2 linked regions of the Elephas maximus indicus genome follow. The protein of the gene in region 1 binds, or shares a complex with, the protein of each later gene. Links are inferred from orthologs where the notes say so. Each region holds a gene or a part of one and is shown on either strand. Other genes may lie near its edges.

Region 1 (16,129 bases):
TCATTTAATCTTCTTAATGACTTTAGACATAGATACATTTTTATCCTTGTTTTACAGATAACTTGGCATAGGCAACAATTCTTGAGTTTCCAAAGCTCATAATTTCAGCCATTGAGTCTGTCTGACAAAAATAAAAAGGAAGTTTTTAAAGTTTCTGGTGCCAAAGACAGTGCACAATACAGTGAGGCATACAGGTAAGAAAGATACATTCTTCGACTTCCTGGTTGCTACATTCTGGGAGAAAGACAGAAATTTTAAAATGACACAATTAATTAAAGTAAGCAATATGAAAGCCCATAACTTGGACGGCTAAGTCTGTCTCATGGGAAGCAGCAAATATTCTCTAAGGATGTAGCAAATAAAAGATAGCTGGGTGAAGGGAGAATAAAGTGAGAGTCAAAATGGCTTGAGAGAATGTTGAAGAAGGAGCGGATTCACATTACGTTATTATTATTATTTCTCTTTTTCTGTAATGTACTGATGAAAAAAACGTCTGTCTTCTCTGCTTATAACATTTCAGAAAGATGGATTTTTACCAACAGCCATCAAGTCAATTTTGATTTACGGTGAGCCCATGTGTATCAGAGGAGAACTGTGCTCCATAGGGTTTTCAACAGCTGATTTTTCAGGCCCCCTCCTTTAGGGTGACTTATTTACATAAATTATTTGGAATTCTTCTGCACAAAAGATTAGTTTCTTTTCCCCATTTATTAATTTATTCCATTATCTACTTATATCAGTATGGACTCATGGATATTTTATACTTTGGGTTTAACCAACATTATTTTGTTTCTCAAATTGCTCCAGCTTTCGCCATTCAGAGATCCTTCATTTGGCACCTAATGTCTCTTTTACATATCCCCATCAATGTGGGCTTTGGTTTTTTTTGGAGTTTTGTTGTTGTTGTTGTTTTAGCACTTCCTTATCTTATAGCACTACAAGATGCTCCAGGCTCACCTTGTATATTTCCTGCTCCAGGCCTAGAATAAACAGTTTCTAGAAAAAGCCCTGGCTTCACTGCAAGTATCTTTTTTCAGTAACATAACCAGCAACTATACAAGTGGATGTTGACAAATGGAATACACAGGAATCAAATCAACTACATCTGTGGAAAGAGATGATGGAAAAACTCAATATCATCTGTCAGAACAAAGCAAGGGGCTGGCTGTGGAACAGACCATCAATTGGTCATATGCAAGTTGAAGCTCAAGAGAATTAGAACAAGTTCATAAGAGCCAGAGTATGACACTGAGTATAACCCACCTCAATTTAGAGACCCACTCAAGAACAGATTTGATAAATTGAACACTAATGACCGAAGACCAGGCCAGGTGTTGAATGACATCATACATGAAGAAAGCAAAAGGTCATTTAAAAGACAGGAAAGAAAAAAACACCAAAATGAACGTCAGAAGATACTCTGAAAGTTGCTCCTGAACGTAGAGTAGCTAAAGCAAAAGAAAGAAATGATGAAGTAAAAGACCTGAACAAAATATTTCAGAAGAGGGTGTGGAAGGAGGGGTATCATTGCATGTTTGATGGATCATGGCTGAAAGAAGAGTATACCAAAAATATGTTTACCTGTGTTTTATTGACTATGAAAAGGCATTTTACTGTGTGGATCATAACAAATTATGGATAACATTGCAAAGAATGGCAATTCCAGAACACTTAATTGTGCTCATGAGGAACCTGTACTTAGACCAAGAAGCAGTCATTGGGACAGAACAAGGGAATACTGCGTGGTTTAAAGTAGGAGAGGTGTGCATCAGAGTTGTATCCTTTCCCCACACTTAATCTGTATGCTGAGCAAATAATCAGAGAAGCTAGACTTATAAGAAGAAGAATGTGGCATCAGGATTGGAGGAAGACTCATTAACAACCTGCAATATGCAGATGACACAATCTTGCTTGCTGAAAGTGAAGAAGACTTGAAGCACTTACTGATGAAGATTAAAGACCACAGCCTTCGGTATGGACTACTATTCAACATAAAGAAAACAAAAACCCTCACAACTGAACCGATAAGCAACATCATGATAAATGGAGAAAATATTGAAGTTGACAAGGATTTCATTTTACTTGGATCCACAATCAACATGCATGGAAGCATTAGTCAAGAAATCAGACAGTGCATTCCACTGGGAAAATCTGCTACAAGAGATCTCTTTAAAATGTTAAAAAGCAAAGATGTCACTTTAAGGACTAAGGTGCATTTGACCCAATCCAAGGTGTTTGCAATCACCTCATATGCATGTGAAAGCTTGACAATGAATAAGGAAAACCGAAAAACTGATGCCTTTCAATTATGGTGTTGGCAAAGAATATTGAATATACCATGGACTGCTAGAAGAACAAACAAATCTGTCTTGGAAGAAGGACAGCCAGGATGCTCCTTAAAAGCAAGGATGGCGAGACTTTGTCTCACATAATTTGGACATATTATTAAGAAGGACTAGTCTCTGGAGAAGGGCAGCATGCTTGATAAAATAGAGGGTCAGCGAAAAAGAGGAAGACCCTCAAGGAGATGGACTGACTCAATGGCTGCAGCAATGGGCTCAAACATAACAATGATTGTGAAGACGGTTCTGGATCAGGCAGTGTTTCGTCCTGTTGTATATAGGGTCTCTGTGAGTTGGAATCAACTTGGCAGCATCTAAGAGAGAATGCCCTAAAAGAGTTTTTGCTACTTTTTCATAGAGAAGCCCAGCTGTCTCTTACCATCAATTGTCTGTTTTTTCATTTCTGAGAAGCCCTAAGAAATAAGGTTTTTGTTTCTCTGTGATAGTTAAACCACCCTTTACAGGTTTATTCACTAATCAGGTTCAAAGTCTGATAGTTCCGGAACTTTAAGACAGGGATGGAGACTGTGACAACATTTTCTTGGAGAAGCTATAAGGAACCCAGACACATAAACTGAATCATAACAGAATGCTATACACATGAAAATAATCATAAGAAACTGATTCTGGCTTTGCAACACTGTGTTTGTATATATTTGTTAGGATAATAAAAGCTGAAGGCAAAAGATTACAGGTATTCGTCAAAAACATTGTCCATGATTTTTAGAAAGTTAAATGGCATTGGTGAAACAAAATATGAAGCTAGGAATTATGAAATTCAAGTGACTTAGAGAGACATATGTCTACAATATAATTTATATCATGTCGACCCTAAAAAATATCTAGACCTGGATTTTGACAACAATCCAAAACCAATATCTATTTCTTATTCTATAATAAGATAGGGGAAGTGCCTTTCTGGTGCTGAGTGATTTATTTCTCTGAGTGCCTTGGCATTCACCCATAGAGAAGATTGGATTTTCTTGTTCTCGCCATTTCTTTTCAGGCAGACCTGAGCTTGGTATCAAGCTTCTACAGTCGAGGGAGATTTTCACACCTGTACATTAAAGAAGCATTTTAAGTATAAAAATACCAGAAGTTTTGCAGAAGGAAAGCATGATCAACAATGCTCATGTTCTTCACATAACATGGTGTGTTTCTGTGATGAATTACTACATTTTCCCTGAGGTCCATATGGATTGGGTCATTTGTAATGTTCATTCCTTTGACAGATTCACTGAGTACCTTTTACGTGACAACCTGTGTTTCAAGCACCAGTGTATGACAGTCAATAAATAAAGTCAGCTGTCATTCAACATGCGTTCCAGTGAGACAAGACAGAAAATAAACAAATAAGCAATAAATATTTAGCATGTGAAATGAGTACAGTCCTAGTCACGACACTATTCAATGTGTGAGTGTGGGAATTCATAGTTGAGGTGGAGTGGAGATAAAGATTGTCTACTAGAGAAGAAATCAGAAGCTATGTCTCATCCAAATGGTGTTATCATCCAAAAGTTTGAGGAAGTTGTTAAAAAACCATAACAAGAGTTGGATGGAGGGGAAAGCTCTCAACCAGAAAATAAATCCTCAAGGAATAAGCAAGGAATGTCCATTAAGTCAGAAGATGATTTTTACCAGAAGAAAAGGCTGATACAGCAGGAGGACATATGCTCAAAGGAGGAGTTTTGATTTGTTTGGGTTTGTGAAGAATTATTGTATTTTGTTTTTGCCTTTTTTACACAAGGTTTTGTCAACCCTGCAAGTGGTGATATGAGCCAAGACGAAAAACACCATGTCCATCCAATTCTGACCCTCATTTCTTTGAGGGTGGAATAAACAGCCTCTGTTTAAGCAGGCTGCAAGGAAAGTATGCTCCCAGGGGCCTATCGTGGTTCAAGTGAAGCACGATAGAGCAGGCTTCTCTTGGAAAAGGCAAGGCAGGACATGCATGCTAGAGCTTTAGTCTGAGTCACGACCTTCTGAATACGTATTTAGGCAGTACAGCTTAAAGTATATGTTTCCAAGGTTCTTAAGGCAGGCATGTGGAAAATAGACAGCAACTGAGCCCTCCCACCACACACGTCTCCCCTTGCTGAACAACTCTGTGGGGGCACATCAGCCTATTTTCTGGAGCATAATAATTGTCACAATTTGTCAGGTTCAGCTTAGTAATATTGTCTAACAGTTTCAGAGCAATAACAAAAAGCATGGTTTCCTACTCAGAAGAATAAATCCATTATCAATTTGCCTTTTGCTTGTATTATTGGTTTGTACAATGTCTTGAGATTGGTTTCCTGTTCATTACACTTATACAAAATAACACTTTGTTTAATATATTCCAAATATGTTATTTAAGCTTTAAACTTTTTGATATTATTGTTTGTTAAGTCTATGTTATGTTGCAATGTACTAAAAGGTACATAAAATTTTACTCAAAACCAAACCTGTTGCTGTCAAGTGGATTCCGACTCATAGCAACCCTACAGAACAGAGGAGAACTGCCCCATAGAGTTTCCAAGGAGCACCTGGTGGATACAAACTGCTGACCTTTTGGTTAGCAGCCATAGCTCTTAACCACTATGCCACCAGGGTTTCCTCAGCAAGGGGTGGGGCGGGGAACAGCTGCTGTGGAGTTGATTGGATGCATAAATCAGATTGCTTCAAAGAAAAATTCCATGGGCTAGAAAATTTACTTGAATTATCACTACAAAATGTGCGGAAAAGAAGCTGGCAATCCACAAATTGTCTATTAAAAAAAGGTTAAGTATAGTATTGCACAGGCGGTTATTGTCATTGCTGTCAATAAGTTGTACACCTGTAAAAAGTTAAATTGGCAAAAGTTACGTGGTAGATATATCTACAACAATGACAAAAAAAAAAAGAAGACAGAGTAGCTGCTGAGGTTTTTCATTTAATGTACAATGAAAAACCTCATGGGATTGGTTTCTTGGTTTGAGGTTTAGGGTCATGGTTTCATCGGACATCCCAGTTAATTGGCCTAACAACATGTTTAGTGCCTTTGTTCTACCACCTAGCTCTACGCATAGTGCCTGCAGTCTTAAAAGCTTGCAATTAGCCATCCAAGGCACAACAATTGGTCTCTGTTCACCTGAAACAACAGAGGAAGAAGTAGAGTCAGGAATAAAAGGAGGATATAGAATGTGTGACTGATTGCCTCCATGAACAACTGCCTCCTTTGCCACGAGACCAGAAGAACTGGATGGTGCCAGCTACCATTACTGAACATTTTGATCTAAGACTCCATAGAATAATTCTGATCAAAAGAGGGAAAATGCAGAACAGAATTTCAAATTCTCATGGGCTCCAGACTTCCAGGAGCCGTGAAGTTTGGATGAACCCATGAAACTATTGCTCTGAGATAATCTTTAAACCTTAAACCAAAAATATCCCCTGCAGTCTTCTTAAAACCAAACAATAGCTTAATCTAACTAGTAAAAAAATGTCTGCCTTGAGCATTATGCTCTTTTAATTACTATCTATACGGGATCAAATCGGTAGCAGTGACTTGAAAGATTAGACAGGAACCGTAGGGGGCAGTGAATTTGTGTTGATGGGGGAGGAAGAGCTCAGAAAAGGAGGGTGAGAACGGTTACACAACTGGAAGTTTGTAATCAATGTCACTAAATGGTACATGTAGAAACTGTTGAATTGATTTAAGTTTTGTTGTGTATATTCTCAACAACAAAATAAATAAAATTAAAAAAAAGTTAACTGGGTATTTGATGCCAAAATCAAATAGTTATTGTTAATTTTTAGGTGTTATAATGGTGTTGAGCTATATTTTTTAAAAGTCTTTGTCTTTCAGGATACATGCTGAAATATTTTTGGATGAAATGATGTGCCGTTTAGGCTATGTTTAAATTAATCCAAAGTAGGTGAGTGGGGTATAGATGAAACAAGATTGGCCTCCTATTGGTAATAGTCGATGCTGTGTGATGGATACACTGGGGTTTATTATCCTTTCTTCCTATTTTTGTATATATTTGAAAGTTTTCATATTAAAAGTATAATTTAAGCAAGAAAACATGCAACAAGGACTTTTTTTGCATATAATGAAGCATTGTTTTCCTGACATATTTTGCACAGAACAAACTAAACTCATTGTTGTCCAGTCGATTTCGACTCATAGAGATGCCACATGTTTTAAGAGCAGAACTGTGCTCTGTAGGGTTTTCAATGGCTGTAATCTTACAGGAGTAGATTGCCAGGTCTTTCTTCCTTGGCTCCACTGGATGGACTCTGACTGCCAACCTTTCATAGTCTAGCACAAACCCTTTGTGCCATCCTGCGACCAATTTATAATTTCTGTTTCATACTTTAGAAAATCACATTTGAATTTTGTATAATTATACATATTTTATAACCTTTCCACATTTTTTAAACTTTTCTTGGTATGTAGCAGGAGTGTTTTTTAAGGAAACATCACCATTTTAGATCAAGGTAGGACTATAAAATGAGTGTCTTATAGTGTGGCAAAATTTTCCAAACTCCCTTTGGAAAAGAAGGTCCAGCACTTCTTCCCATCACCCTCAAATTACGCTGCTACTCACTAGTTTTCCAAAATATGCATAACAGATTTTGCATCTGAGGTGAGAAGGTTATAGTAGCTCCCACGGGCTCTTTCCCACACACCTTCACACACACACACACACACACACACACACACACACACAGCAGTAGCAGCAGCAACACTACACACTCCTACCTACAGAAGTGTCCAGATTTGGATGCAGCACGCTGACAACTGCCGCTCTACTGGGGCACTTAGCCGTGGGGAGAGAGAAAGCAGCTGCTGAGAGAAAAATAGGTAAAGGACCAGAGTTTGCTGTCTTCCTCTCCCCCTTCTCTCTTTCCTTCCTTTCCTCTCCCCAGCATCCCTGCTTTCTCTCCTCTCTGGTTTTCTCCCGCCCCTACCTTCCATCATCTCCTCCAGGCCTTCTCCCCAGGTTCCCCTCCTCAGTGATCCGTCTCCCCCGCTCCCCGTCCCTGGCAGTTTGTAGAGGAGGCTCAGCAGCTGCTGCTTTTATCGCAGCCGCCGCTGCAGGTCTCTCTTAACATCACCCCCGCCCACGCCGGTCTGCAAGCTGAAGGCGCGCACTGGCCTGGAGATGAGGGCGGGGGGAGAGAGAGGCTGCTAGAGGGGAGGGAGGAGAGGCAAGGAGACAAAAACAGCTTCCAAGCAGCAGGCGGGGCCTTCACTGGGCATCTGGGAAGGAGGGGTCTCTGGGTCAGTGGCTGGGCACCCGCCCCAATTACTCCTATTCTAGCTGGTAATTCAGTGGGGCGGTGTACAACTGAACCCTTCTGGCCTGGGTGGCATCAGCTGGCGAGGGCAGACGTCAGCCTAGCAACACACCTAAGCAACCAGAGCTCAGGAACCTGGAGAGAGCCCTGAAGAAAGAGAAGCCCAGGAGGAAGAAAGGGCTTCTAAAGGCCCAGCTTCTCAGGGTTCCCTCAGGTGCTGGTGGAGACCTGTCACATGGTAGCAAGTAAGTGCCTTTTCCTTGTTGTTTCCTGTCCTGGGATGGTGATAGCAGTCACCAGCTGCCAGCCTTTCCAACTCCCCACCTGCCCCACCCCATTCACCTCCTTAGGATTGCCGGCAGGAGGATGGAGATTAAGATTCTGGAAAGAAATTAGGAGAGCAAAAGATACGTCTTTTTTCTACTTCAAGAGCAGGGGTGGCCGGTGGGTGTTTGTTCTTCACTGTGTGGTCCCTTTACTCATCCTACCACCTCATAAGCTTCTGAAACAGAGTTGTTCTGTTAATGCAAAATTTCTAGAAACCGTAAGTGGTGATGACTTTTATATTACATGAAATGATGCTCACATGTAAGGAATAAAAGCTTTGCAGAGTTGGAGTATCCTTCTAAGGACTCCCATCCCTTGTTCTAATTAACTTCGTGATTTCCAAGATTAGTGCTTTTTGTGTCAGAATTGTCAGTTTGGAAGTAGATACATAGATGTGATGGGAAAGGTGGGAAAGGTGTGCGCAGTTTAAACCACTGGGTATTTTGGTATTGTGTGGGCCAACAGGTTTTTGCATTGTGTGGTTTTGTAAAATGCATATTTTCTGGAGGTTTTCTTTTAAGGAGCAATAATGTTTTCACTGTGATTCTGGTTATATGTGGCCTCCAGTTGCTAGGATGTTGGTCAAAGCAGGACGGATGATGAATGCATGTGGGATGAATCACTGATGGTTCCCTACATTAATGGAGACGATGGACTCAAGTCTGGATGCCGGCCAGAAAAATCTCTTGAATTGGAGAAGAGTTTGGGTGGCGCTTTTTCATGTGGATATTTTTCCCCTGGCTATTGCTCAGGAGAGTAGTTTATCGCAAGTAGAAGGGAGTTGGGGCCCTGTGATAAACATAGAACTGGGCACTATACCTGCTACAACCAGCCCTACTTGGAGGTTCTGTAATTGCTTCTATTTTTATGAGTGAGAAAGAAAAAGCCAAAAAGGAGTAATTTGATGTCGTTACCTGGCTAGTCAACAATATTGAGCTGGAAGTCGAGTGAGGAAGACTTCGGAATTTAGAATTCTAACACTTGATTGAAATCCTTATGCAAATGAAGCATTATTAAACTTGATTAAAGTTTATTTTCTCTCTTTGTAAATGACACATCAAAAAGTCCTGGTAAGGACTAGATAACAGAGATACCTGAAGGGTTTATATCATGCGTAACAATTACTTGTATAAGGAATTATTCTGTGTTTTTTCTCCACTGCACTTTTATTCTCAATTAAGTTCAATACTGGAATGAAAGGAGATTCTTGTCAGGCCTCACTAGAATGCACTAGAAGAAGTTCAAATCCAGGTCATGGTCTCTTGCAACCTATATAGCTTAAAGCATATTCTAACTGCAAGCCTCTGTCCTTGCAAAATTGTATGCTTTGGTTATCCACTTATAATTAAACACTTTGAATGTTTTCAAAATTCACTTTACCATCTTTCTCTTTTTAGTTGTAGTTTTTGTTTTACGTGCATGGTCCAACTCCCTCAGGATTAAAACACCATGTATATTGGATATTGCTGAATTTATTTGGTCTATTAATATGGGAGAAATAAAAATTTAGGCATAAATGCTCTACTTTTGACTGCTGAGATTCATTAAAATCCTACACTCAGAGGAAACAAACTCTAAGCCTCTTCTTGCCCATGACTGTGTTTAAAACAGGAGAAAAACCTGAAGTTGGACCTAGGCTCAAGAAAAGTGGCCAAGAGAGGCCAGAAGACAAGGTCAGGCCCCTGAACCTGGTGCTGGGCATCAGCCTCCATTGGAGAACTGGAGATAGAACCAAGCACTTAGGACCTGGGCAATCAGTCTACACAGCCTCCTGTGGTAAAAGCATTAGTTAGGATAGTTGAAATACATGCTCACTGATTTTGCCCAGGTAGGATGAATACAGGTTTAAGGCATATTGTGAATGGATCCAACAGTACATTGCTCAACCCCTTATATAGGGGAGAAGAATCCTAATGTTTCCCTGGCCCCAGATCTCATTGGCACAAGATCTGTACTGCAGAAATTATTTCAGACAACTAGGGCACTCAGAGACTGACATGCAACCCTCAACCTACCATCATAAGCTCTCTCAAAGGTTTATGATAGAGGCATTAACATGTAAGGGCCATTCTTGATTTCCGGGCATCTGGTCTCATTATTTAACCAGTATCAATACTGGGCAGCTGATGAGATGGACATCTGTAACCCTGCCCACCTCCATCTCCCCTAGCTATCAGCAAGATATGAGTCACCCACCTGCACGTAGAACTAACTTGTACAGGCAGATCTTTTTTCCTTGTGTTGATCACCATTGGTGTGGGCTAACCAGTGCCATATAAACCAGGTCTCACCTGTACAACATTGAAAGGTGGAACTTTGGTAGTTGAAGAGAAAATTTTCATCTAAGGGCTTTTAGGATTGTTTTTCAGCTGTTCCATATCTCTTGGCCCAGCTTGGATCATGATTTCCATATATTTGTTCAATCATAGCTTTTTATAAACCAGGCTTAATTTGTTTGTATTCTAATCCGATGGGGGGAATCCTCATTTGCCTGGAAGACAGATATCCTTGTTGTACATGCAGTATTTCTAACTGGATTGGTTCAGTCAGGTGCTGGCTAGGGATGGCCAGCTCTGTGGACAGCTCTGATTGTGGTGAGAGCCAGGTTCCAGACTGGCTGCATCAACATCAAATAAGAGCCTAATGAAGATGCTGAAGCTTGGGCTCCACACATTGAAATTCTGATTTTAAGGCTTTGAGATTAGTACAGGGCATTTGGTTTTAAATGAGAACATCAGATGACAATGATATTCCGCCACATTTGGAGACCAAATTCCCTAGTCGAATAAATTGTGTTGACTGGAATATTCTTTCTCTTCTGCTTTCCATACCAGGTTTCCATATGAGGCTCACGGTCCACTGATCTCTCACCCTCTGTGCACTCCCAGGTGCTGCATAGTCTAACTGCCTGATCACAGGCTGTAATTTTGACTCTGACCCATATCTAGTCTCTGTGCCCATCTCAGAGTGAGATAAAAACTAACTCATACTCATTCTAATATGTTTCAAGTTTCCTCTAGTTGCTCTCCAATTTGAGAAGGGGTGGGGTGGACATCTATTTGCTTGGTTCCACATTTGAAAAACTAGAGTAGGTAGTGGAGGGGAAACACTGGAAAAGTAGACAGACACTTTCAAAGTGAGTAGGGTCTGAGGTAGACAGCCAGTTCTAAGAGGACACCAGGGTTCCAATGAATGTACTCGTTCAGGATTTTTTGTACATTTTTTTTTTTGCATTCCGTAGTGCCAGCGGCATCTTATACCACAAGTCAGAAAATCTCCGGGTTGCTGGTGAGACTAGAAGTTGCATGCATAACAGGAACTCCTTTGTATTCTCCTGGGCTGGGGAAGAATACATTCCTCCATCTTCAGTTCTTAAACGGCCTCTGGCCAGATTCTTCTGGTCTAGGGTCAGGTGGACTAGGGTCATGGAACAGTTAATTCTAGCAAGATCCTGGCTTTTTCCCAACATGCTTGTTTTGATGGGCTGAATACATGCAGCTTGGCAGTTTCCATCATATCCGTAGAAACAAGGAACGCTGATAGTGAACCATGAGTTTGTCACAGAGAAGATCAACAAGGAATTCTTAAAACTAAGGCAACTCTCCTTCATGTTCCTGGAATTCTTTCTTGCGGCCATTGCCTCACCAGTCATAATGACTCACCCTAGCGTGATTCCATTTCCAACAGAGGCTTTCTCCTCTGTGAATTTCCCTCTAGGCATTTGAACTTAAAATGGACTTTTTCCTGGGCTCATTCTTGTAAGTGAATTTGAGACCAGGTGCTGAGACTTTGTCATATGACACTTTGGATTCATATTCCTCTAGTATAAGTTGGCTGTGCCACTCTGAATATGCGTGGCCTGTACTCCTCCTTGGGGAAAGGAAACACATACAGCAAACTCAGCTCCTGATTATTTTAAGGAACCATCTCTAGAACCCAAGGTCACCAGAGTTTGGGGGAAGTTCTTAAAAGAGGACTTATTTATTTGGGGAGTGATGGAACCTGTCCCTCTTGATTTTCTCTGCTGCCCATTTGTTTATAAGGCCATTTCCCTAGTCATTGAATTCAGAGGAATGTCTGACATTAAAATTCTTCAGGAATATAATCAAATCAAAATGGCAGAGTATGGTGATATTTTTGAGAAAGTTACTTATTTACAATTTTCCTTTGCAAAATAGAATATTCTAGGAATGTGTTGGCTGAAGTTGTCAGAGTGAAGGAGTTGAGTTGGAGTTAAGTGGATATACTGAGGAAAAGGACCTGAAGCCAGAATGAGTTGACCTGTGAGCAGAACACAGCTTGAGGCAGAATATAAGTCCAGGGACAAAGAGGCAAAAGTCAATTAAGTCAGGTTAGATTAACGGTATGACAGGGACAAGTAAAAAGCAAGAATTGAATAATCAAAATGGAAGTAATCAACCCAAGTAGAAGTATAACCCAAAAGCTGAAAAACAAGTGGACTGAAGCCAAGGGGGAAGTTATGGAACACCCGTTCATACGGAAAGCTGCAAATTCCAGGTGGACTGGTGCCATCCCAGTCAAACTGTCCTTTATTCCCAAATCTTCAGTGTGCAAACCTTTCTGGGTCTTAGTAATACGTATACACAGTGAGTTACAGCCAAGGAGTATAGAAATATTAACTGGAAAGCAACAGAATCCCTTGACACTTTTTTAGTTCCTGTTCTTGTTAGTCCAAGTGCATAGATATAAGAGTTTTCTTCTTTCCAGGGGGGAAACATGCATGTACCAGCATACATAATTCCATGTTTAAAATCTTCATAAATCCTTTTGATCAAAGATGAGCAATGCAAGCTATTCTCAATATTACTTTTTTCACTTAGTTTATTTTGGAAATCTTTTCATAAGGGCTCAGATATATCTATCTTATTACCGTCTTACTAAAAAGTATTCTATGACAGTGACATACTGGAATTCATAGTATTAACTTCTTAGGGTGGACACTTTGATTGTTTCTAGTCTTTGAAATTAAAAATATGCTGTGATTAACGTCTTTGTTAACATGACTTCTCAGTCTTCAGCAAGACTATTCATGGGGCAGTTTAATTGCTGGGCCAAAGGGTACAGGCAGCTGTATTTTAGAAACTATTGCCGATTGTCCTTTAGAAAAACTGCACTAATTAGCACTCTTTTCCAAAACATATGAGGGTGCCCATTGGCTCTAGATCCCAGCCTGCAAAAGGTCACATCCCTTGAGCTGAGTCTTAATTATGCCTCAAGAGATTTACTATTAGAGTTATTGATTGTGTTAACATTATCCATATCCTTTAGAATTTCATTAATTTCAATCATCTTTCCTGATAGCTTTCTGCTTCCTAGGGGATAATGACAATATTTTTGGATCTCCCATAAGAGAAAGCAGTGCATGTGACATCTCTTGATTTCTAAACCCTGGGAGAAAAAGGATTTTAATCAAAGGGCTCTAAGGGAAAGACTCTGCGTCAGAGAATTTAGCTGTGAGTCATTGCAGAATGTGGGAAAGATGAAATGTAAGTCTTAATGTGTCTATTAAGTGCAATCAAGTGGCCCTGACCAACAAAAATGTCAATCTAAATGGGTCATTTCACTAAAGCAGGTGTGGTCCCTACATTCTCAACAATACAGATTCCATTTACTGGTCACATTAATGCTGCCTCCTTCATTTATGCCTGCAGTATCTTCTAGCCCGAGTTAACTTGTTTGTCAGCTTTGTCATAGTTATCATTAATGTCTTTACAGTCATCTGAAAGTCATTGGTACAATAGGTTTGTTGCATTCTCCATGTCAGATATAGAGCATAGCTGTTTCAAAATAGTTTGAAACCACTAAATGATAAATCATTCTACCCTTCATTTCCTATTCCATGTCAGCATGAGGTTGGCATTTGAGATATTATCCTTAGTCTATATGGCTCTACTGTCTTACCTGGTTTCTTTGTTTTGTTTTGTTTCTTTGCTTCGTTTTTCTTAATTTATTTTATCTTGCTCTGTGGCCTATGTCCTTGTAAGCTAATCTAGATATCTTTGAAAACATATGAGGATTTTTTAAAAATCTATTAATTATCTGACATAGAGTAGAACATTTAACAATTGTCTTTGGCAGACCTAATCTAACATCTGTTTTCTCATCCTTAGGATCAACTCCAGCTTCCCAGAAAGCATAGGTCTGTATATGGCATGATCTTTACTTTGATGGACATTTTTGTTCCATTTGAAGACTGTCCAGTTTACCTACATGCCTTTTCGATGTGGTGTTCACGGATCACAACAGAATAGAAAAGGTCCAAGTAAATTTTAATCTCAATTTTTAAAATTCACAATTACTTCCCAAATATTATGGGCCACTCACTGTACTAGGCATTTTTACCCATATTATTTCATTTTATTCTTCTTTAACCCAAGGAGAAGCCTCAATTTTATGACTGAGAAAACAGTCTCAAGAGTATTAAGTAATTTGACTGAGGTGTCTCAGAACATTTGTGACAGAGTTGAGGATTTGAATATAGATCTATCTGATTCCAAAGTTCATGATTTTATTTTTTCTATTTGTTTTTACTAGGGTATTTCTCTACTGCAATTTTAATTGTTGATGTGTTCAGTAAGGCATGTACAGAGTTTGAGAGTGTACCATATGCATTAGCCAACAGCCTTTGTGAAAGGCCCCTGAAATTTTTTAAATCTATTATCCAGCATATATTTTTGCATGTTGTGAAACATTTTATAAACTGACTTACTTGAAGTCCAAATGTGTGCTTTTCTTAATTTTCCTGATTAAATAATCTAGAATTTTGGTGATAAAATAAAGATGAAAAAATTAAGCATGAACCCTGGTGGCACAGTGGGTAAGAGCTCAGCTGCTAACCAAAAGGTCAGCAGTTTGAATCCACCAGCCGCTACTTGGAAACACTATGGGGCAGTTCTACTCTGCGGTTTGATAACCCTTAAAACCCAAAAACCCGCTGGAGTCGATCCAATATTCCCACTCTCACTGACCCTATAGGACAAAGTAAAACTCCCCCATAGGGTTTCCAAGGAGCAGCTGGTGGATTCAAACTGCCAGCCATTTGGTTAGCAGCCAAGCTCTTAACTACTGTGCCACCAGGGCTCTGAGTAAGGGTTAGTTCATATAAAAAGATCCCTGAGCAGCCAGTAATGCTATAAAGCCTATGTAGTTTTCTTTGGAGAAGTAAAACCATTGTTAGTCCTTTACTCAGAAAATCGTCTGATAGTAGGAGTGGATTAGAAATAGCAAGACAATATCAAGTCATAACTGACTGCTCAGGTGGGAAACAGAAGAACTCTAAAAGCATACTAATGGGATCATTCAGTAGTTGCCTTTGAGAGCATCACTATGATACTATGATACACTATAATACAGTAATTAATGCTTATAATGATGACCATGAGTCATTAAGAAAATATTAATATATATTTAAGAATCTCTGTATAAGGGATACAATTTTTAAAGGCTCATTAAATATTTTAAAGGTCAACTATTTCATATGTAAGAGGAAGCTTAGATGATTTGTAGCTTGTACTTATAAATTATACTTATGCAAAGTATCTTGACTCCTCTCCAACAATGTTTGATAAATGATGTGTTATTATATGCATGTTTGTACATCTGGTGTATATGAATAAACATTAGCAAACTGTTAATAAGTGTCAGTTTTGTGCATAATATTGAGCAAGATATTTGGGAAATAAGTATATTTCTAAGATGAGCAATTTTGAATTTCTATACCACGAGATTCGCCTGTAGGGTCTTTATGAGTCGGAAGTGACTCGATGGCAATGGGTTTGATTTTGGTTTTTTTAGGGTTGCTATGAGACAGCAACAGGTTTTTTTTTTTCTTTTTTAGTCTAGAAAGACATATGCTGAACTTCTTAGTCCATATTCCTCTTTTTTTTTAATTGCTTCCCACTCCAAGCCTGCAACATCCCTTGAGGGGCTTGGGCACAAGCAGCCACTACTATTATAAAATGTCCCTCCATCTCTGGATACAACTCATTAGACAAAAGGGAAATGAACCCATAAGCTGAACGAGGCCAATGAGAGTATATTTTTAGCCAAAAATTTGAAATGTGGTAGGGACTTAAACTGAAAAGTCAAATAAAGTTGAGGCTGGGTTGGCATTTTTGGTACATGTGTACTCTGAGAAGTAAGTAAGTGAAGCCATCCTCTGGGTGGAATGT
Region 2 (15,844 bases), on another chromosome or scaffold:
ACTCAGCATGACTTCATTACTGATTCTGAAACACAAAGTCTAGCGTTGTGCCCTTCCCAAACACCAGACACAGTCTCATTCTTTGCACGTATTTACAGAAACGCAATTCTGCCGAACTTTTAAGAAGTATTTTATTGTTTCAGATGGTCTGGTTACAAAGGCCCTTCCATTTCCTCCTTTAACTCCTGGGGTTGGTGTGTTGGGCCTTTCCTGGCCATGTGGCTGCTGGTGAAATCTGGGTCCATTAGAGGGGCAGTGAGAAAGATCCAAGCATGGAAAACAAAGAATTGATGGATCTGGTTCTGCTCCATGCAAATTGAGTGACCAAGTCATTTAACTTTTTTGTATTTAGCTTCCTAAGATAAATTGGGTAATAACAGTGCCTACTTCTTATTAATGAATGAAGGAGGGGGTGAAAATAATACATACTATGTTTGTGCTAAGGGCCGAGTATTATGCCAAGTGGTCTATATGTTTGAGTCATTTAATCTTCATAAATAGCTACAAGATAGGTATTATTATTATTTTCATTTTAAGGCTGAGGAAATTGAAGCTCATATAAAACAATTCCAAGTCAATTCCGACTCATGGTGACATCATATGTCAGAGGAATTAAATAGCATGCCCAAAGTTACACAGGTAATAAGCAATGTATAACCAAAAAACCAAACCAGTTGCTGTCAAGTAAATTTATAGCGACGCTATAGGACAGAGTAGAACTGCTGCATGGAGTTTCCAAGGCGCAGCTGTATGCATGTGAACTGCTGACCTTTTGGTTAGCAGATGAATGCGTAACCACTTCACCACCAGGGCTCCAAAACAATGTATAACCCTTATTATATTATTCTTTTCCATCACTTCATTCTGTTACTCCAAATCATAACCTTACTTGAAAATAGTGCCATTCAGTGAAAGATGCCCCAAATAAAGAGCCAGGAGAGTGCCATCTGCATCTCCAGGTGAGCTTCTCAGAACACCCATACCTCCATCAACCATTCCTGCTCTTTGGGACATTCTACTCATCCTTTCAAGGTTGCCCTCAAATATCACCACTTTCAAAATTCCCAGACCCCTACTCCCACCCCATAATTTATGTCCCCATCTTCCAGGCCATCTGCATACAATACTACCCTTACCACACTCTTTCACAGTTATTTTTTAAAGCCAGAGACTAGTACAATACCTGGCATAGAGTGAGGATGCAGTAAAGGTGTTCTGAATGAATGAATGTAGTGTGGCAGTATTAATCTCTCTAGATGTCAGTTCTTGCCGTCTAAAATAGATGTCTAGTATTTCATATTTCACAGGAATATCAAGAAAATTCAATGAAATGTTAGTATATCTTAAAAAATACAACGATTATATTAGATGAGGCCAAGCAGTTATTTCTTTTACACAAAGAGATAAGCAACCAGGAGATTTTCATTCACGCTAATCCATGTAAACTCTCTAAATGATAAATAATTATAACTCCCTCCTCCCGCCCACAAAAACGAACACACAATATATTGGATTGTCTTATGTCTTTTTCTTAGATGTCATACTTTTCCATCATACTATAAGTTTTGTGAGTAAAGGGGTTGTGCCTACTTTTTCTCACCCTAAATACATATACACACACAGCACCCATCTTAGAACTTCACATTGCACATTGAGTCATTAACTGTCTGATTTCAACATGAACGTGTCTTTTGATGGTGAACGTCTTACAGGAAGGAGTTCTTAAGTCTTTGGAGACAAAGAGCCTTGGTTTTGAGATCTGGCTTAGGCACATGCAGGTTGAGTAGCCAAGTCATTTAACATCACTTGTACAGTAGTTCCCAACTTACATGCCGACAACTCCATCGTAAGCCAGTTCTGACGTAAGTTGAACACCTCATTTTCATAAATCTGATCATTGTTTTGAGGGGTTGCTATGAGAATGATAACATCAGCAAATTAAGCACTGCAACATTGTATGCAGTACATATTACTAACAAAAGGATGTACAAAAAAAGATGGGCATAAGTGCAGTTCATCATAACTTGAATATGCTGTAAGTTGGGGACTACCTGAGTTTAGTTTCCCCCTGTGTCATGGATTGAATTATGTCACCCCAAAAATCTGTGTATCAGTTGGGCTGGGCCATGATTCCCAGTATCATGTGATTTTCCTATATTTTGTAAATCCTGCCTCTGTGATGTTAATGAGGGAGGATGGGTGGCAGTTGTGTTAGTGAGGCAGGATTCAACCCACAAGATTGGATTGTGTCTTGAGGTAATCTCTTGAGATATAGAAGAGAGAAGCGAGCAGAAAGACTGGGGGACCTCATACCACCATGAAAGCAGTGCTGGGAGCAGAGCGCATCTTTTGACCCAGGGTGCCTGCACAGAGAAGCTCCAAGTCCAGGGGAAGATTGATGAGAAGGCCAGCAAAGAGAGGGATGTCTTCCCCTGAAGGTGACACCCTGAATTTGGACTTTTAGCCTACTTTACTGTGAAGAAATAAATTTATCTTTGTTAAAGCCATCCACTTGCGGTATTTCTGTTACAGCAGGACTAGATGACTAAGACACCACCCCCACAACAGAAAATATATATATGTGGATAATAATAGTGCTTACTCAATAAAATTGTTGTGGCGAGAAAGCATGCCCTCAAATATTATTATGATGATAAAGATAATGATGTTGATATGGAAGTGATAATAAAGATGATGGTAAATCATGAAAAGCTGATTGGTTCTCATCATGCTGAAGTTAAAAGTTGAGTACATCTCTGTAAAGATTAAAGACGTAGTCCAAATAGGAGCCTAACATCCCTCAGCTTTATAAAAACCAAACCAAACCTGTTGCCATCGAGTTGATTCTGACTCATAGCGACCCTGTAGGACAGAGTAGAACTGCCCCATACAGTTTCCAAGAAGCAGCTGGTAGATTGCAATTGCCGACCTTTTGGTTAGCATATATAGCTCTTAACCACTACGCCATACGGGGTTTCCAATAAAAAATCCAAAACAGATCCACAGACATGATCTCATTTTTTTCTCACAGCAACCCTGGGAGGCAGACAATTAGAGACGGAGAATTGGCTCAGAGAGGGTAAGTTAAACGGTCACAATGGAACGAAGCCTGGGAAACAGGCCGCCTGTCCCTGACGTGGAACTCATTTTTCTCCTTCTTCCAAAATATTTCTGATGAGCATTGAGTCAGTCTGGACCAATTGTTGTACTTGCTCCAAGCATCAGAGCAACAGCAGTATTCAGATCAGCAGCAAAGGTAATAATGACACTTATTTCTCCAAGGGTTCTTTTCCTTCTGCCTACCCCAAGAGTTCCAGCCAAATGCATGCTAGAAATGCATAAAAACGTATGTCATGCTAACAGTAATACTTGAAATATATCATAACTTTTCTTCTGAGGAGCTCGAAGTGCCTTGTCAGTCATATCTTCTTCATTGCCATTCAAATGTCTGGACTATAATGATTACCTATTGACAGCTTGCTCATTAAGGGCGTTAACTACGGGCTCCCTGGATGTTGGTCAAGAGAAGTGTGACCTGAGCTTCTTTTGTAGACAGGGTGGCATTACAGGTGGAATTGGGGTGCTCCTGGGTGGCAGGAAAGCTCCACCTTCCCTAAATATCCACTTGGAGCTTGGTTCAATTCAGCAAACATTTCTGGCCCCCTCTCCCTGCCAGCTCCTCTGCAATGTGCAGATCCAGGAGGGGACTGCATACTCTGGTTGTCATGTCATGTTTCCTGATCTGATCTGATGTGACCTAATCCCAAACTTCTCTTGGCCAGTGACAGTAACCACATGGCTGGGAGACAGGATGAGGAAACAATTTTGGGGAGCCTACTATTGATTTATTGACTATCTCTCAGTTCCATATGTGCTCTTTGGCCATAGTTTAAAATAAACATTTTTCTTTCCACTCCTTGTCCCACGGGGTGTGCATTATTTTTCGAAATCTACTTAAAACAGCAAAAGCAGGTCATTTGACTTGCCTAGATTGATGTCTGATTTCTGAATCTTGACCCTTATTGATTTATGTGTTCATCTTGAAATACTTTTCTTGGCATTCTTCTATGCATGAAGAAGTATCCCACAGCGATTCCAAGCCTCTCCCTTGACCCCAGATTCCCTGTCCCCCTACCCTCTACTCTCAGGGGATCATTTTCGTCCTGCTTTACCAAGATTGATAAGTGTGTCCTAAGGTCCCCATGTTGTTGTTGTTAGTTGCCATCAAGCTAGCTCTGATTCATAATGACCATATGTACAACAGAACAGAATGCTGCCCAGTCCTGTGCCCTCTTCATGATCGTTGGTATGCTTGAGCCCATTGTTGCCACCCATTGCGTAGTGCCTTCCAATCTAGACTATTTCCATTGGCTAATTTTCAGAAGTAGACAACTTTTCTTAGCTTTTCTTAGTCTGGAAGCTCCACTGAAACTTTCTCACCATTAGTGACCCTACTAGTATTTGAAATGCCAGCAGCATAACTTCCAGGATCATAGCAACACACAAGCCATCACAGTACGGCAAACTGATAGACAAGTGGTAGAAGGTCCCCATATTTTACCTTTACTCACAATGTCATTGCCACCACAGCTGTCTCTAATTCCTCCCCATAGTCTTAGTGAAATGTGGTTCTTTCATCAGGAAAACTAACTTTTCCCTGAATATTTCAGATTCCATTGCTTCTTCCCTCAACAGAGTCATTCCCTCCCCTCCACCTCAAAATCTCTGAAAATCTCAGCCTCCATACTCCCTGTCCTCTTCCTCCACCTCTGAGCACAATTAGCTGGAGTCCCCTCTAAATAGGAATGCCCCTCAAGTCTTGAGACTCTCTTGCCTACTGTGGCATTGCATCTTTCTGGATCCTCTGTTTCTCTGACTACTCTTCTTGTTCCCTCTATTGATTCTGGCCTCAGCTCTTCTCTCTTTCCACTCTATCTCCACCCCTTCATATGTTTACTTATTCTCTCATCCAGAATACGCAGAGGCTATGGCAGTGAACGAGACAAACAAGACTCCTGCTTTCATGGAGCTTAGATACTGATAGGAGAAAACAAGCAAGTATGTAAATCAAAAATAAGATAATTTTGAATAGCAATAGAATACATGACGGAAAGAAGCAGGGTAATGAGAAAGGGAGTAAGTTCAGGTGGGGGAGGTGGGGAGATTAGATTAAAAGGGGTGCCCAGGGATTTCTCTAAGGACAAGTCATTTGAGGCAAGGCCCGAATGACAAGAAGTCAGCCATGGAATGGAGAACATTCCTGGCAGAAGGGACATCTAGTGCTTTATGGTAGGAAAAGCTTGATAAGTTTGAAGAACATTAAAAAAACAATCAAGTGTAGCTGGAACATTGTGGACAAGACAGGGAGTGATAGACATGAGTGTGGAGAAAGAGCCAGCAGTCAGGGGAGGCTTATTAGGCCATGGTGAAGAGTTTGGACTTTATTCTAAGTGCAGTGGGATGCCACTGAAGGGCTTAAGCAAAACAGGTACATGACCTTATAGAAAGAAGATAAAGACCTCTCTGGCTACTGTTGGGAGTATTTAAACAAATGGTTTCATCTGTCAACCATAACAGGAGAATTATCACTTAATCGAAAAAGGTCATATATCAGCAAGAAAGAACTGAAGCCAAAATGCAGAAAAGAGGAAGAGATGAGTTAAACTATTCAAATGAGTTAAAGGCTGAATACAAGGCCAAATGTACTTCAGGGAACTTAAGGAACTTGCAAAAGTGACTGAGAGCCATTGCCAAAATTCAAGGGAAATGTCAGAAGACAGCAGGGAGCAAATGTGTCTATTTTCAATAGAGAAGAGAGGAGGAAAAGCTTAAGGAAACTGGAGGCAAGTATATTTTTCTTAACTTCTCAAGTGAAATCCACAAATTAACTGTTTAAAATGGGGTTACCAAACATTTAGAAAAGGACAATGTGATTATTAGGAGTCTGCATAGATAGGCTAAGGAAAAAATTCTGTAAAGCTAAGCCAGTTCCCCATGATGGTAGTTGTGGTAGTTGTCGGTGTGGTGGTGCTTGTTAGGATTATCGGTATGAAAATATCTCAGTCACTCTGTATATCTCAATCTTGGAAGACATTCAATAAAATCATAGAATGGCAAAGATGTATGGAGCTTTATCAATAGGGTATCCCAAATTTCTAACCTATAGAAGATTTTTTTTTCTACGACAGTAATTGGTTGTAGAGGAAATGCTTGAACATAACAAAAGGTAATTCATTCCACTTCATAACGGTTTGAAATGTATTGCTGAAAATCTGTTTCCATATAACTGTAAACCATTGATCTTATTGCTTTACTCTGGATCATTAGAACTCTAATTCTTCTCACATAAAGCCCTTTAAGTTTTCCAAACATGTCATGCCCATGGAAAACAGGGAGTTGTGTTTGGGTATTTATTTAAGATTAAGCAACCATATTAAAGGAGTCTAATTAGTAGTTCATTGTCATATAGACTGAGGTCTCTAGAGGAATGTCAAAGGATTCTTTTTGTTTACTTTCTGTTCATTTTATTTATTTATTTTTTTTATGCTACGATCAAGCGACTGCCAAGTCCAAAGATGAAACAAGGCTAAAGAAGAGACATATGTTGGGTGATTGAATCTAAATTCAATAAAACTGTTAACAGGATGTGATAATTGATTGGAACTAATGTATTTTAACAGCAATAAGTACAAATTTTCAAAGTAAGGCATCCTAAATTTTCTCTATGAGTACAAATGACTGCAACCAACAGAGTGCAAGTGAAAACTACTTAGGGATTTTAATTGACCAGAAGCTTATTATGAGTGAGATGTGGTGTAAGAGGATTTGAATAGCCAGACCCTCTAAAGCAAGCATGACCATATTTCCACTGTATTTATGCTAGCTGACCACATAGGAAACGTTAGTTCTTGTCCAGATGTCACTTTGAGAAGGACACCAGCAAACTAAAAATCGTCCTGAGAGGGCAACTAGGGTGGTTAAGGATTGGAAATACCCTGAAATAAATTTATGAAGCTTTTTGTTTGTTGTTGTTAGGTGTCGTCGAGTCGGTTCTGACTCACAGCGACCCTATGTACCACAGAACGAGACACTGCCCAGTCCTGTGCCATGCTCACAATCGTTACGCTTGAGCCGGTTGTTGCAGCCACTGTGTCAATTCATCTCATTGAGGATCTTCCTCTTTTCTGATGACCCTGTACTTTACCAAGCATGATGTCCTTCTCGAGGAATTGAACCTTCCTGACAACATGTCCAAAGTATGTGAAAAGTAGTCTCACCATCCTTGCTTCTAAGGAGTATTCTGGTTGTATTCCTCCAAAAAAGATTTGTTTGTTCTTTTGGCAGTCTATGGTATATTCGATATTCTTCACCAACACCACAATTCAAAGGCATCAATTCTTCTTTGGTCTTCCTTATTCATTGTCCAGGTTTCGCATGCATACGAGGTGACTGAAAATACCATGGCTTGGGTCAGGCGCACCAGTCTTCAAGGTTACATTTTTGCTTTTCAACACTTCAAAGAGATCCTTTGGAGCAGATTTGCCAAATGCAATGTGTCTGTTGATTTCTTGACTGCTGTTTCCATGGGTGTTGACTGTGTATCCAAGTAAAATGAAATCCTTGACAACTTCAATCTTTTCTCCGTTTATCACGATGTTGCTCACTGGTCCATTTGTAAGGATTTTTGTTTTCTTTTTGTTGAGGTGTAATCCATACTGAAGGCTGTGTGGTCTTTGATCCTCATCAGTAAGTGCTTCAAGTCCTCTTCACTTTCAGCAAGTAAGGTTGTGTCATCTGCATAACACAGGTTGTTAATGAGTCTTCCTCCAATCCTGATGCCCTGTTCTTCTTCAGATAGTCCAGCTTCCTGGGTTATCTGCTCTGCATACAGATTGAATAGGTATGGTGATAGAATACAACCCTGACATACACCTTTCCTGACTTTAAACCATGCAGTATCCCCTTGTTCTGTTCAAAGGACTGCTTCTTGATCTATGTACAGGTTCCTTATAAGCACAATTAAGTATTCTGGAATTCCCATTCTTCGCATCATTATCCATAATTTGTTATGATCCACACAGTTGAGTGCCTTTGCATGGTCAATAAAACTCAGTTTTTAAACATCCTTCTGGTATTCTCTGCTTTCAACCAGGATCCATCTGACATGAAGCTTAGCACCAAATAAAAAGTCTTGGGGTGGGAGTTGGGAAGCAGAGCTCTTTCAAAGATTTAAGACGCGTATTTTGCTCCAGGAAACAGCGTTAGGATACTTAATCGTGTTTGAGGGAGGAAAGAGAGGTGTACAGAATCCAGTGGAATACAAAGAACTTCCCTAAACAATAGAAGTAGTAAAGGCCCTTCACAAGGAAAGATCAAGCCCACTCCTCAGGTGTGTTCTAGGGGGTGTGGAGTTCACGAATTGGAAAGGAGGTTGAGTTTTGTCAACTTTAACTTCCCATCCAAGGCTTTTAAGGGCTGTCTTCAAAAGAACATAGTTTACGGGCTGGTGGTGTGCTGCTCTGGAATAGGGCACATTCTGTTGCTCGTCATATTTTAGGACAGAGAATTTCCTGCAGCGGGTTCACTTACACCCAGCTGTTAGGCTGCGGTTCCCTTTTGAAATACCAGTGTTAAGCTACTGCTTTTGGAAAAGGAGCAGGGAAGAAGAAAAGAGGGGGGAGAGACTCTTGTATTAATCTTTCATTTCAGCCCCAAGCATTCCTAATCTATTAAGTCAATTTGAGCTTATAATTGAATTTAAAGGTTCAGGTTTCCCTTCCAGAGATGGGGCGGGGAGCTGAAACAGCTGCTAGAACTAGGGAGTGGCTGGCTAATAGTTGGAAAGGGCCAAACTACAATCTGTTTTTAAATAACAACAACAACAGAAGTGGTTAGAGCAAGAGGGAGGGCTGCGAAGAACCAGGGGAAGGGAAGAGGAGACCTATCTTGCCCCCACCCTCAGGGCCACTCGGGCTGACATTTGGCTCACCCCACTGAGGGATGAGGTGAACACAGGGAACAGGTGCGCCCCACTCTTACCCTCACTTCCCCTAAACAGGGATTTTCTTGCTGCGTTCGGTGTGCCCGAAACCAATTAATCAAGGCCAGAAAAAGGCTAGACAGGGAGAAAAGAAGGGGATGGGGTCGGGGGAGAGAAGCCCGGAGCCATGTAGTATGTACATTGCAGATGACATCATTGCCTGAAAGAGATTTGGCCCTCCCCTTCCTGGAGCTGGAGGCAAGCATGTCAGTGCGGGAGCAGGAGTGGGGTTGCCTGGAGTGCGTGAATCTGTGGGAGACGGTGCACCCGTGCTTGGGAGAGGTGTAGAGGCGTGGGATGAAGACCTGGAGACAGCGAACAGAGTGATTGCAGGGGCTGGAGGCGTTTGCACCTCCCAGGGCTCCGCCCCCACTCTGCTCCACACTCCGCCCGCGAGGGGCACGCCTGTTTTGGGGGTGGGGAGTGTGTGCGCGAGGGGGTGGGTCCGTGGTGGCGCCCGGGGGAAGGGGGCGGGGAGCCGCCTGCGCATGTCACGGCTGACCCGGCACCCACGGCTAGGGAGCCAGGAGAGCGGCAGCTGGTCACCGGCCACCGGCCACCGAGGATCGGGGCACTGCGCGATCCAGAAGCGAGCTCCGGGGAAGGGGCTCGCCCTTCCCACCCACCCCCACCTCTGAGATCGCCGGCCAGACGGTAGCCTCCGCCTCCTTCCCGGACCCTCCGGGCCTCCCCGGGGAGCCGAGGACGGGTGTGGACTGACCAACGTGGAAAGACTCCTCCAGCTCAGACGGACGGCCCAGGTGGCTTCGGGTGTGGGGGACACGCCCAACTGGAGAAGCCGGCCGGGGCGGTTGCAGCCGGAGCTCCGGGGTGGCGGTGAATATTGGTCGGGGCGTAGCTGTTCGTAGGGGAGGAGCGGTGGCTAAACATGGACCCCTTCGACAGCAGAGCCGCCTAGCGCAGCTCCTCGCTTCCCAGCCGAGCTTCCCTAGGCGCAAACGGGTGAAGGCAGGGGCGCTAACTGGAATCTGAAGCTCCGGGTGGGCGGGGAAGATACTGTCCTTGGTGCTGAGCCGGAGCCGGGCCGCGGGTTCGGGGAGCCAGCACCGAGCTGCTGAGCCGCTCCATCCAGTTGGGGCGGTCGACTAGGGTAGCTTCAAGCTGAAACTCCCTGTCCGGCTCCAACAGCCCACAGAGCCTCCCCGGGGCTCTTGGCCCTTCTGTCAGTCAGAACGTCGCCCCCTGGGGGCAGTTCGTCCCGAAGGGTTTCCTCGAAAGTATCTAAGAGGGCGCAGTCCTTGACCGAGGGAATCTCTCTGTTTAGTCCCGGAAGCCACTAGCTGAAAAAGATGCCTGCCTTCAACAGATTGTTTTCCCTGGCTTCCCTGGTGCTCATCTACTGGGGTAAGTACCAGCACCCTGCCGTACAAGATGCAGATACCAGTAATAATGCTAGCGATAATAACACATATTGATGGCATTGATGGCAAAAAGGAGTCCCGGTTGGCTTCCCCTATGTGCATCTCTGGCAGACACGAAGAAATCCGTAAGGGATTCCATGCAAGCTGGGAATCTGAGGTGGGAAAGACGCCTCCCCTCCGGAGCCTTATTCCCCAACCTCCCTTGGTGGGTCTTCCACCTCTCCTCTAGTTTCCTGGTCATTCCAAAGGATTTCTTTTTCCTCTGCTGAAAGGGAAACGCAGTCACTTTCATTATATAAAACAAACAAACAAAAATCTCCTTGATTGCAGTTTCATCTTATTTTTAATGAGGAGCCAATACTTCTGAAAATCTTGCCGGATCTTCGAATTAGTTTCCTACATTAAAAAATAAATAAAAGCTATATGCATGCATTTTGAGAGTGAAAATGGTTCAGTTGTAGGTCCACCTGCTTCATTTGAATAACGAATGGGAGGAGAACAGGTCTCAGCTATTTACTGCTGTGTATTCAATAAACAGCAAACTGGGAATTGGATCTTTTTTTTTTTTTTTCCATGAACATGTGGAGCTAAGGTGCTTTGGTGTTTGCGAAGCTAGATGTTTTACGTCTGAAGATGAAGACTCTTGTTTGTCTATTGTGAGAGACTAAGGTGACCTTCTCCTTCCAAATAAGGGAGTCCCTCACTTGCAACAAGAAGGCTAAGCAAGGATGGTGTCAGAGATGGGCTATCCTAGAGGTGGCGTGCCTGAATGTATGTAAAAGGGGCTTAATGAGCCTACCTGATAATGTCTGAATATGTGATAGAATGTTTTACTGTGTGTTAATGTACCTTTCAATGTCTGAATGTGTGCTAGTGTGTGCCTGAGCAGATTAGTGTAGGGATCTAAATACACTGGTGAGAATAGAATCATGTGTGTGTATTTGTGTGTGTTTAGGTCTGGGCATCTCTGCCTTGATGTCTCTGATTAGACCATCACAGTCAAATGTAGGTGTCCTCCAGTTGATACATTGCTTTACGTGATCTTAGCTACCTTTCTCCATGCTAAAATAAATAACCAGGGTAATTCAGTATGATTGTGCCCACTGAGACATGTGGGACTATGCTCTCGATTGGCATGGACCTCATTCTGCCCGTGCAGTGGCAGACGTGCTGATGGGAATTGCGTCTTTGCCTTAGTATCACTTTGTCAAGCCTCCAGGACTGGCTCTGGCTGCCAGCGTTATCTGGATTTTGCATGTGACCAGAGACAGAGCCAAGTTTCCTGTGGAACAAAATGCCTGATGGGCTGAGGAAGACAAGGAGGGAAAATAGTGTCAGCCCCAAGGGCAGACTCACCGCCATCCATCCCCAGTAGAGCAGACCAAGCTTAGAGATGCAGCAGACATAATAGGTTGCCAATGATCTCACCTGCCTTGATGATTTAAGGCTGCGATTTTCTCAGGGGAGGCTGAGACTAGGGACATGAAGCTTAGGAGATGTTAGTCTGACTGGGTAGGAGAGAGCGTAGGGAAAGCAAGCAAGGGGAGATGAAGTTGGGGTAATATTCTTTAAAGCCATGAAATATCCTCCCCAAAACCCAATATTTCCTAATCTAAGTTTTTAGGGTCCCTGCCTGGATTCTTGTGAAGGGTCTTTTGTTTGGGGCTTGAGAAGCCTGGCTTGGAGCTTTGCCACTAGATGGCTATGTAACAACCTCAGAGCCTCAGCTTCCTCATCTGTAAAGCAAGGACGTTGGAGCAGCGGATGATCTTTACCATCCCTTTCAGCTGTACCACTGAATGATGGGAAATCTTTACAGAATGTTGCTAGAATTGGCAGATTGCCCAATCCCACCCCTACCCTGCCATGCAAAATAAAAACCTTTGGAAGAAGCATGCACATTACACACATCCTTGCTTAATCTCAACTGCTTTGTAATCTGAACATCTGTTCACCAAACCCCAAAGCTGCAGAGGCAAGGAGGGATGGTTCAGGAAAAGCTGGTTGTTAACTGTAAGAGAGTCCTGCTTCACAAATGCCATTTCATTTTATTTGCATGTGATCCCAGTACTGGAAAGCGTTTAGCTTTAGTAGCAGTCCCCCTTCCCAAGTTGGTTTCTCATATGAGGCCCAATATGAATGGAAAGAGTCTTCTCTATTCTTTTATTTTTTGCATGTACTGAAAAAAGTTCCCTTATTTCCTTTAATGAAACATTTTCTTAAAAAAAAAAAAAAAAAAACCTGACACTTGCCTGGTACTTTACAGTTTACAAAGCAATTTTCCATCCGTGACATCTTTTGATCTCCGTAACAACCCTATGAGATAGTCAGAGGACGCGGTATTATTTGCAGTTTAGAGAGGAGAAAATGACCTCAGGGGGTAAAGGACTTGCTAGAGAACTCCTGTCTCACGATTTCAGTCTCCCAGCGCTCATTCTAGCACGTCTTATGGACACAGGAACTGCTATGTAAACCTGCCAGGTGGCATTGTCCTCCCTTCTTGGCTCTGGGCCCCCCCAAACCCGACTGTCTTTCCTAGGCCCTCACCCATCCTTTAGGCTCCTAGTGCCTTCTATGTTCTTCCTCTCCAGGTCTACCCGTCCAGCTGCACCCTCAGCTTCCCTCAAGGCCCTGCTGAGTGGCTAATCCAAGAGACTGAGTCATTTCAGGGTGTTATTATCTAAAAGCATATTTATTTATTATACCCTTTTGGAAAATACTTACATTCTAACCCAAGCTTTCATTATCTTGGTGCAAAGAAAAGCACTGTAGAGCAGGCTCAGGAGGGGGAATTTGGCAACGCCCAAACCAGAGAAAGATTTAGGGAAAGTACAGGAGATGGTTCAATATATGTTACTATCCACCTCGTAATAGATTGATGCTATTCCCTAGTTGAAATTCCTGGGTGGTACAAATGGTTAATGTGTGTGGCTGCCAATCGAAAGATTAGAGGTTTGAGTCTACCCAAAGGAACCTAGAAAGAAAGCCTTGGTGGTCTACTTCCCCAAGTTTAAAAAAAAAAATCAACTACTGAAAACTCGATGGACCACAATTCTTCTCTAGACACGTGAGGTATCCATGACTTGCTATCAACTTGACTGCAACTGGTACTGGCATTCCTTAGTTAGATATAGCCATCATATTCTTCCTTTGTTCTTCATAGTTTTCCATTATTACTGTGAAAACTGAACAGGAGACTGAAGGTCAAATGACTTGGCCGAGATTATTCTAGGAGCTTATCATTTTTATAGTCAGCAATGTTGGTTGAGCAACTGCCATATGTACAAGCTCTTCTTGGATACATAGAGAATTTCACAGAAATTGAGTAATGGCGTGCTGGAGCCCAAGGTACCTGGGTGGTGCAAATGGCTTGTGCTTGGCTGCTCATTGGAAGGTTTGTGGTTTGAACCTATGTAGAGGTGCCAGGGAAGAAAGACCTGGTGATCTGCGTCTGTAAACATTACCACCGAGAAAACCCTATGGTGCTTAGTTCTACTCTGTAACAAATGAGGTCATTGTGAGTCAGGATTGACTCAAAGGCAATGGATGCTGCAGCCAATTTGCACCCACTCAAGACAGACAAGTTCACAGCTCTTCCCAATTCTGTGTTCAGTCATGTTGGTAGCTTGACATTGGCTTTAGTGGGCATATTTACACCACAGAGATTGGCAAACACTACAAATCAGGACCCTTTATCCCTCCCAGAGAGCCAGTTTGTAAATATTTATGACAACACCATTGCACAGAGTGAATAATGCTGCCCTCATTTTTAAAAAATTAAAAAAATAAGAATTAGAAATATACTTATGAGATGCACATGCAAAAGAGGACAGAAACAAATCCAGGTGTTCTAACACAGTGTGGTGGATGGGACACAGCTTTTAGAATCAGGCTGCCCTAGGTTCAAATGTCTACCTGTATGACCTTGGGAAAGTTACTTAATCCTTTTAAGACGCAATGTCCTTATCCGAAGTGGGATAATAGTACCTCCCTTGTTGCCAGCTTATTATATGGTAGTAAGTGAGATAACATAGGTAAAGGGACTCAGGAAAGAGAGACCAAAAACAAAAAAAAAAACCAAACCCAGTGCCGTCGAGTCAATTCCGACTCATACCGACCCTACGGGACAGAGTAGAACTGCCCCATAGAGTTCCCAAGGAGCACCTGGCGGATTTGAACTGCCAGCCCTTTGGTTAGCAGCCATAGCACTTAACCACTATGCCACCAGGGTTTCCATTCTATATTGTTGCCGTTCCATATTCACCATCCAGACTGCATATATACCACCTTTAACTGTAAGTGAATTGACTGTGCTCCTAATAAAGGCCAACCCATCCACTAGAGAACATGTCCTCTCACCTACTCAAGGACATAAATCCGGTACATTATTCTCTTTCAAATCCCAACACCTCCACTACCACCTTCATCCAAACAAAATCATCTCTGCCTGGTCTCTATATCAGCCTCTTAGCTGTTCTCCATTCTTCCTTCCTTGTCCCACCTTGCCTCTTTAGACTATTCTCAACACAGCAATCGGATTTTACAAAGTTTGTGTAAAATCAGATCAGGTCTTTCTTCCACTCAGAACCCTCCGGTGCTCCCCATTTTACTTAAAGCAAAAACCAAAGTCCTAACCATGGCCTGGAAACCCTGGTGGCTTTGTGGTTAAGAGTTTGGCTGCTAACCAAAGGGTCAGCAGTTCGAATCCACCAGGTGCTCCTTGGAAACTCTATGGGGCAGTTCTACTCTGTCTTATAGGGTCGCTATGGGTCAGAATTGACTCGATGGCAATGGGTAACCATGGCCTACAAGGCCCACCTCCATGATCTGGCCTTGGCCTAGCTCTCCCGCCTCATCTCCTATTCTCATCGTGGTCACTGTACTATCCACATTGGGGTTCTTGCTGCCTCTTGAGCCTTAAAAAATACACTCCCCCCCTCAGACCTTTGAATTGCTGTTTCCTCTCTCTGTCACACCTTCCCCCAGATATTCACATAACTCAAGCCCTCATTGCTTTCCTTCAGTGTCTGCTCGATGTCACCTTCTCAGTGAGGACTTCTCCAGTGACTCTATGCATGCTCTATCTCCTCTGTCATTGTGTGCCATCGGACTCATAGCGACCCTATATATGACAGAGTAGAACTGCCCCATAGGGTTCCTTGGGCTGTAATATTTACGGGAACAGATCGCTAGGTCTTTTCTCCCACAGAGCTGCTGGTGACTTTGAAAATGCCAGCCTTTCTGTTAGCAGCCAAGCGCTTAACTGTTGCACTGCCAGGGCTCCGCTTCTATCTCCTCATTGTCAGTTTTGGTTTTTCCTATAGCACTTACTACAATTTCATATTGTTTATTTTCTTTCTTCCTCCAACTGGAATGTAGGCTCCCTGAGAGCAGGGATGGTTTCTGCTTTGTTCCCTCTTGT

What was found.
Region 2: the proteins of SCN7A (region 1) and SCN3B are in contact, whole or in part, in a cryo-EM structure (PDB 7TJ9), measured with the Homo sapiens proteins. The link is inferred for Elephas maximus indicus from reciprocal best matches to the Homo sapiens genes SCN7A and SCN3B. Residues at the interface, in NP_002967.2 of Homo sapiens: Arg269, Glu293, Tyr296, Leu298, Glu299, Leu305, Gln315, Cys316, Pro317, Glu318, Gly319, Tyr320, Asn922, Ile923, Thr926, Cys927, Lys929, Ile930, Phe939, Ile956, Tyr957, Asp959, Gln960, Ile966, Tyr970, Met973, Ile974, Tyr977, Ile978, Leu981; in NP_001035241.1 of Homo sapiens: Val25, Cys26, Val27, Glu28, Val29, Arg44, Ile46, Lys50, Arg51, Glu52, Glu53, Val54, Asn95, Gly96, Ser97, Asp99, Gln101, Asp102, Phe126, Phe128, Ala130, His131, Pro133, Val135, Thr154, Ser155, Ser158, Glu159, Met162, Leu165.

Annotation. Positions count from the first base shown.
Region 1 is NC_064824.1:64,587,689-64,603,817, reverse strand, and holds the start of SCN7A (sodium channel protein type 7 subunit alpha), read left to right. Parts: upstream 1-7,561; 5' UTR 7,562-7,845; coding exon of another isoform or gene 7,846-7,855; intron 7,856-10,771; exon of another isoform or gene 10,772-10,858; intron 10,859-14,068; 5' UTR 14,069-14,168; coding exon 14,169-14,214; intron 14,215-16,129. UniProt on the Homo sapiens protein: Sodium leak channel functioning as an osmosensor regulating sodium ion levels in various tissues and organs. While most sodium channels are voltage-gated, SCN7A is not and lets sodium flow through membrane along its concentration gradient.
Region 2 is NC_064835.1:16,864,392-16,880,235, reverse strand, and holds the start of SCN3B (sodium channel subunit beta-3), read left to right. Parts: upstream 1-9,500; 5' UTR 9,501-9,801; exon of another isoform or gene 9,802-10,325; 5' UTR 10,326-10,350; coding exon 10,351-10,405; intron 10,406-15,844. UniProt on the Homo sapiens protein: Regulatory subunit of multiple voltage-gated sodium (Nav) channels directly mediating the depolarization of excitable membranes.